2 linked regions of the Sus scrofa genome follow. The protein of the gene in region 2 purifies or fractionates together with the protein of the main gene of each other region. This does not show direct contact. Links are inferred from orthologs where the notes say so. Each region holds a gene or a part of one and is shown on either strand. Other genes may lie near its edges.

Region 1 (4,115 bases), on a different chromosome or scaffold from region 2:
TCTGGTCACATTTTTGTCAATTGATCAGTATATAACCTTGTTTATACTGTGTATTTATGTTTAAAGACACTCTGCTTAATATATTATTCTTACAAATAATTAATTGCATGGCCTCTGAATGACATAAAGCCAGGAGCTTTGGAAGTCATCTGTGTTATATAGGTTCCTTTGTCAATGTCCTTCTAAAACAAGCTAATCTCATCAGCATTGAAAAGCTAGCTACCCTTCTAGATAACCCTTTATCCATATAACACTTAACAGGTGTTTTTAAAATTCTTCCAGACTCTGATCTGCAGAACCTGACTCCCTTGCAAATTTAACACTTTTCACGATGTATCAACTTGTAAAATGTGTGAGCCAGCCTGAACTAGCTGAGACAGGCTTAACATTTTCCTAACCCTAGGTAACATGATCATTAATGTCCTTTGCTTTCAGCCTCACAACACTATCTACTACACTTTGGTCATCATCTCATGGATCAATACATTTATCCACTTCTCCCCCCCCCTTTTTTGGCCACATGCATGGCATGAGGAAGTTCCCAGGCCAGAAATCAAACCTGTGCCACAGCAGTGACCCAAGCCACTAGTGATAACACTGGATCCTTAACCTGCTGATCCACAAGAGAACTCCCACCTTTTCCTTAGCTTCATCACATACTATAGATGTTAATTTAGCACTTTCTAGAGCAGTCTCATGTACTAACTGGCAAACTTCCTCTTCTTTTTCTAGGTATACTGCCTTTTTGACTCATTAATATTGAACTCACTGCCAACAGCACTGCAACTCATTCTTGAACAAAGCTTATTTAACATGTATTTTCTCCTATACCACATCAGATTTCTTACACTTAGAACACTAGGCAGCACATCAACACTACACTTGGGGACAACTATAAACAGCAAAAATAACCATTAAAAACCACAAAAAAAATGCAAAAAAAAAAAAAAAAAAAAAAAACAAGACGCTAAGTAGACCTCAAAAAGAATACTTGTTTACAATACAAGGGCTGAAAAGAAGAAAGCCTAATTCAACCTCGGCTGGGAACACATGCATCAGGCAACTTATTTTTTGCTGCTCTGTGCACATCCACAAATGACCATGAAAGCAGTGAGTATGACTCTGGGGGTACAAACAAATTTTAATGAGTAAACAAATTTGCAAATATGGAATCTGCAAATAATAAGGATCAACTGTACATGCATAATTTAATCCTGCCCATAAATTTAACCACACCCCCTGATTTTACCCTGCCTAATCGGGCTCAGCTCTAACCCCTGATTCTGTCCACAACCCACCCAGTACCTCTGGTAATAGGTGTCTGAGCGTCCGCAGGTGGCACCTGACTTTCGAAAGACCTCACGGCGCTTCCAGCCAGGGCCCAGGGCCGGGCAGTCCAGCCAGTCCTCAGCCATGGGGGCCACAGGAAGGAACGGCGGCCTGCAACATGGAGGGGGCAGTGGGAGAAACTGAGGCTCTAGGAAGGGACATGCTGTGCCCCAGGACACACAAATGTGTGGTGGCATCAATTAATGCTTGTTTAAAACCTAAGACCTGTCACAAGCAACTGGACAATATAAGGAAGAGAAAAACCCCCATCGCCACTCCATTCTTTCCTGTCCTGGGCCCAGCAGCTTGTGTCATTCATCCCCCTTCTTGATCTGGTAGCCCCATCCTCAACTCAAGGGTCCCTACCCTCAATGCATTCCTCACTTTCAGGGTCCTAATCCCCATCCCTCCCCATCCTCAGCCTGAGAGACCTCATTCCTCCCATTCTCAGTCCAAGAGGCCCCCACAGGACTCCTCCTCAGACTAAAGTCCCAGTACTCTACCTCGGTGTCCTGACCTCCCATTTATTCCCTTCCTTGACCCAAGAGTCACTAATTTCTCTCTTGCAATCCTTTATCCTTCCCATTCCTTCCCTCTATGCTGTCCTCTTATCCTGCTGCCTTGGTGTTATTGCCTCAATTTCTTCTGTGTCCTATGCCAGAGAGTCCCCCAAATTCTCCACATTTTTGACCTGAATAACCCTTCATTCCTTCTGTTCCTCAAACTGAAAGACTTCCCCACCTTACTTTCCCTTTGTCAGTGTTCTGAGACTCAAGTCCTTCCCAAGCCCCCAAACCTCCCTATTTCCATCTTCCAAAGCTAAAAAGTTCCCTTCAGCGTCCTCATCCTCTATTCCTCTCATCAGCCTGAGAAACCCTGATTTCTCCCTTCAGCATTCTGAACTCCCCACCCCTCTTCCTCTTGGTCCAGATCATGCCATCCCTAACTGTCAGTGTTCTGACCCCCTATCTCTCATCATCCTCTATAGGAGAACCCCGTCCCTCCCTTTCAGCATTCCAAAGCCCCATTTTCCCTCGTTATTAGCCTGAAGATCCCTCTTTTCTCCCCTTCAGCGTTCTAAACCCCCATTTCTCTTTCCTTAACCTGAGAGGCCCCGATATGTCCCGCTCAGCGTTCGGATCCTCCCCTTTTCCTCTCCGTCCTCGTCCAAGATCCGACACTTCCACCTGTCAGCCTTCTGAGCCCCATTCCTCCCCGTCCTCCGCCTAAATCTCCCCATTACTCCCTTTCAATATTCCGACGCCGCCATTCCTCCTACACATCGGCCTGAGGGCCCTTCATTGCTCTCGATCAGCGTTCTGAGCCTCAATTCTTCCCCATTCCCCGCCTGAGCGATCTTCATTTCCACCCCCACCACTGTCTCACCAGCTCGGCTCCCGGCCGGTACCTTCCGCCGCTCTAGGTTCGCGGACCCATGACGAGGGTCCCGGTTTTGACTCCCGCCCCGTCCAGCTTCCCTTCTTCCTTCTCCACAGCCGCTTCCTCCGAAGCGGTAGCTGTCGCCGCCGCGACCGTTCGTTGCTCCAGGAACCGGAAATCCGCTGCCCACATCTCGGGCTCCGCCCCCCCTGGCGGGACGCCTGCGCGCTAATGCCCTCTGGCGCTGGCCCTTCTATGGGATGCCTCTGCGCCTGCGTGTTGAGTCCTAGCGCAGCGCGCGCCTATTTTAAGGGGACCTGCTGCGCTTGCGTATTGGCATCTATCCCCAGCTCCCGCCTCTTTCGAGACCTGCTAGGCATGCGCACCTGCTTTGCCCTACTTTGCACGACTCGTTTTCGCTTGCTCTCTCCAGTCCCAGCCCAAGAGGACAAGGAAGACTGGGGTTGGTCTTGCCGTCTGTTTTGCTGGCGGCCTCCAACTGGAGTAATGGGAGGGAGCGGAGAAGAAGGCCGGGATTGAGCCGGAGCTCTCTTCTCCCACCTGTTGCCTCTGTCGCGTTTGTGCTCTCAAGTTCCTCCTGTCAAGGAAAAAATAATCAATAGTCGATCTAAAGGAGAAATAGAAAATTTTATTTGAGCCAAGCTGAGAATTATAAACCAGGAGATAGTCTATCAGAAAACTCCGAGACCTATTACGCCTATTAGAAGTCGAAGACACCGGCTTTTTTTTGTTTGTTTGTTTTTGGTCTTTTTGCCATTTTTCTTGGGCCGCTTCTGTGGGATATGGAGGTTCCTAGGCTAGGGGTGGATTCGGAGCTGTAGCCGCTGGCCTATGCCAGAGCCACAGCAATGCGGGATCCGAGCCTCGTCTGCAACCTACACCACAGATCACAGCTACGCGGGATCCTTAACCCACTAAGCAAGGCCAGGGATCGAACCTGCAATCTCATGGTTCCTAGTCGGATTCGTTAACCACTGCATGGGAACTCCCGAATACACCGTTTATGTATATATACACATATATATTTGAGACAAAGGATGAAAAATCAGAATGACCAGGAGTTTCCGTCATGGCGCAGTGGTTAACGAATCTGACTAGAAACCATGAGGTTGTGGGTTCGATCCCTGGCCTTGCTCAGTAGGTTAAGGATCCGGCGTTTTTCTGGCTGTGGCGTAGGCCAGCAGCTACAGCTCTGATTCGACCCCTAGCCTGGGAACCTCCATATGTCACGGGAGCAGCCCTTTCTAGGGCAAAAAGACCAAAAAAAGAAAAAAATCAGAATGACCAGCACCTTACATAAAGCGAAGGTACTGTGGCTGAACCACATTGACTCCGTTTTTTCAGCTCCATTGCAAACTCACAGTCCTAACCCCTCCCCTTTCTGC
Region 2 (3,619 bases):
TGAGGATGCAGGTTCGATCCCTGGCCTTGTTCAGTGGGTTAAGGAATCGGTGTTGCCGAGAGCTATGGTGTAGGTTGCAAACGTGGCTCAGATCCCGAGCTGCTGTGGCTGTGGTGCAGGCTGGCAACTGCAGCTCCAATTTGACCCCTAGCCTGGGAACCTCCCTGTGCCATGGGTGCAGCCCTAAAAAGCAAAAAAATAAAAAAGAGCTTCTGGAGTTCCCTTTGTGGCCCAGTGATAACAAACCCACCTAGTATCCATGAGGACATGGGTGCCATCCCTGGCCTCAGTGGGTTAAGGATCTGGCGTTGCCCTGATCTGTGGTGTAGGTCACAGACGCAGCTTGGATTCTGCTGTGGCACAGGCCAGCAGCTACAACTCTTGATTTAACCCCCTAGCCTGGGAACCTCCGTATGCCGCAGGTGCAGCCCTATAAAAACAAAAGAAAAAAGAAAAAGAATAGCGCTTCTTTTCTTGCCTACTTGTCTTCTTTAAATAAGGCATTGGATTCCCCCCCCCTTATTTCTTTGCTTTTTTTCTCCATTCTTCTTGCCCAGGGAGCACAATACTTGGGAACCTGAGAAAAATTTGGATTGCCCTGAGCTAATTTCTGAGTTCATGAAAAAGTATAAGAAGATGAAGGAGGGTGAAAATAACAAACCGAGGGAGAAGTCAGAAAGTAACAAGAGGAAATCCAATTTCTCCAACAGTGCTGATGATATCAAATCCAAAAAAAAGAGAGAGGTAAGCTTTATTTTCCTTTTTCCTCAACAACCTATTTCTTCTGCCACTGTGGCTCCCCCTTCCCCCCAAAAAGGGCATTATTTTGGTTGTTTCCCTTCTCTGGATGGCTACAAGGTAAATTGTTGAACAATAGAGCGTCCAGGGAGATATGTTGATTGACTACAGCGCCCCCTCCTGACTGAGTGAGGAACATAATATGAGTCCTCTAAATTGGGGTTAAGGTGGGAAAATGAAATCCTTGGAAAACATCTCATACTCTGCCTTATTCATGAATACAGGCAGAGTTATCTTAGAGTCTTTGGTGAATTTTGTAAGGATAGAAAGGAACTTTAAAATGTCTTACCATTTCACTTTTTTCTTTCGTGCCAAAATTAACACTTATTTTCAACCCTTTATAATTCTCTGTCTTTTAAAATTAAGGTGAAATCCACAGAACATATAGTTTACCATTTTGAAGTGTACAGTTCAGTGGCATGTATATTCCCTTCTGATCCTACTATGTTTTTACATTAAATAAGAAATTAGTTTTCATTTTCCTTTTGGATGTTTTTATTGTTCAGTTTGGAAAGTATGTTTATGAAATTTTGGTTTAATTCAGTTGCTTTGATCCTTCTGATCTTTAGCTCTCAAGTAACTAGCCATAAGCACTATTATTGCCTCTCTTCTTTTTTCATTTATATCTTTTCCATCTGTACACACATATACAGATAACCCACCTCCCCAGCTTCTACTGCTTTCATTTATTTCAAGGCTGTGAAGCCTTTTGTGGTGAAAGATGTATCATACCCTTAAAGTTTAATAAAATAAAAGCATAAGTCTGCTTCTGAATCTTGTAGTGTCACTGCCATAAACATCCCTATTTATCTTCGTTTTCCTTGGATACCCATGTTTCTAGAGCATCAGTTCTGAGCCCTGGCTGCACATTAGAATCACCACAGGAGGTTAGGGGACAATGCTTCAAAAAACTCCACTGCCCAAGATAACACCCCAGACTAATTAAGTTCAAATTTCCGTGGATTGGACATTGTCATCAGTGTTTTATAGAGACTTGCACAAGTGATTCCTGACCTCCAGAGGAGAGAAAATGGGAGACCAGCTTTCCAAAAAGAATGGAAATAAGAGTGAAAGATTGGAGGCTCCCAGTGAAAGTGGATTCTAGGTTTTTGTCTGTCTCCTTATTTGTTTCCATGATTAATTTTATTTTTTACAATCTTATTTTTAAAACTGCCCTGTTCTGATGAGGTGTGTATAACATTTGATATAGTGTACTGATAAATAATTTGAGAATGCCTTCTCTTCTCTAAGGAGCTAAGATTTGATTCTTTCTTTTTTTTTATTAGTCCTTTGTATTTTGGTTTTGTCATTTGATTCATTTTCTAGCTAAGTAAAGAGACTGAAAAACAACACAGCATAAGACCTGTATAGCCATTTGTGACATATAGTTTGTATTTCCTCAACTTACAGTTTCTCTCCTTTTAAAAATGAGCAATCTGACTTTGAGCCACTGGCCAGTGTAGAGAGTTTCATTCCTAGGCCAGGTTCTGATGCTGCTGACCTTGAAAACCACCCCCACATGTCCCTTACATTGTAATGTTCATCTGGGGCCCCTTGACAGCATTCTCAGCAGTGCTGGCGGCTGTCAGGTAGGCAGCTGGGAAGATGGGTGATTGTGTGTTTTAAGGGTGCAGGAGGGGATTGCGTTTCTTTCTTTAGACCACTGCAGAAGAAATTTGTTAGTCGGCATTATGCCTGATTTAAGATTACTGCCTGTGTGATGATTTTAGCATTTTCCTCGCCTCGGCTCCTTTTCAGCATCTCGAACATTTTTCTTTCCTTCCCTCCCTATGTGGCAAACTGTTTTCAGCCGCCAGCTATGATTTACGACTCAGTTCGTGCGCCAGCATTCCAGCTGTGAGCAGCTGTGTGCACATCTGGGAACCTCCTCCTTTTAAGCACCCCCAAAAGAGGCTATGTTTTTAAGTCTGTATGTCCCCTGATCCATGCGTGGAATTTCCTTCCCAATGTTGGATTCTGGTATCTTTGGGGACCACCTGGACGCTGAATGCTTTGTATCTCAGAAGAAAGCAAGGCGAATATCAGAGCAAAGAGATTTTATTATGAAAATCAGATATCAGAGATTTAGTTCAATTGGGCAGTCTTTCTAAATCTTTTTTTGTATTGACACTAAATAAGCTTGCATTATCTTCCATAAAAAGGTTTTTTTTAATTACCTGGTTTGTATAAAATTTCACCATTTTGCTCTCACAAGTGGCAGCACACCTGAATCAGACTCTAATGCTCCTTGTCTGGACTGCGTGATTATCGTTTGACCAAGTCTGAATAATTCCTTACAGAATTATCAGTCTAGTTCTGCTCTCTTTTTTTATTTTTGTTTTTTTCGGGGGGCTTTTTTTGGCTGCAGCAAGCAGCAGCTTAATGTGGGATCTCAATTCCCAGACCAGAGATTGAACCTGGGCTGCAGCAGTGAAAGCGTGCGTCCTAACCACTAGACTACCAGGAAAGTCCCCAGTTCTGCTCTCTAATGCAATTGATCTATCCCCTTCAGGAAGGGATAGACATAGACCAGGGCCTCTTCCCCAAATGTGTGGGTGTTACAGTATGTGAGCTCTGAAAAGAAATTTTCTGTTTTATGATAATGCCTTGAATTATCCTTATCTCTGTTCTTCCATAAGCATAGATGACTCTGGGAAAAGAAGTATTAAAAATATTGGTCAGTGTTAGGTGAACTAAAAGTCTAAAAAAATAAAGATTAAGAGGTTTTATATTTGAAGTTTATAAAATGAAAAAGGGTTTCTTTCAGGTAACCCCTGTGGACTTGTTTATCAACCCAGAAGGAACAATTTAGCAGTAGTCC

The links.
Region 1: the proteins of CBX5 (region 2) and MBD1 purify together in Homo sapiens (affinity purification with western blotting; 3 studies listed by BioGRID and IntAct, with this or other methods). This does not show direct contact. The link is inferred for Sus scrofa from reciprocal best matches to the Homo sapiens genes CBX5 and MBD1.

The regions. Positions count from the first base shown.
Region 1 is NC_010443.5:99,914,454-99,918,568, forward strand, and holds the start of MBD1 (methyl-CpG-binding domain protein 1), read right to left. Parts: upstream 2,869-4,115; 5' UTR 2,716-2,868; intron 1,441-2,715; 5' UTR 1,416-1,440; coding exon 1,306-1,415; intron 1-1,305. UniProt on the Homo sapiens protein: Transcriptional repressor that binds CpG islands in promoters where the DNA is methylated at position 5 of cytosine within CpG dinucleotides. Binding is abolished by the presence of 7-mG that is produced by DNA damage by methylmethanesulfonate (MMS).
Region 2 is NC_010447.5:19,456,910-19,460,528, reverse strand, and holds part of CBX5 (chromobox protein homolog 5), read left to right. Parts: intron 1-557; coding exon 558-744; intron 745-3,619. UniProt on the Homo sapiens protein: Component of heterochromatin that recognizes and binds histone H3 tails methylated at 'Lys-9' (H3K9me), leading to epigenetic repression. In contrast, it is excluded from chromatin when 'Tyr-41' of histone H3 is phosphorylated (H3Y41ph).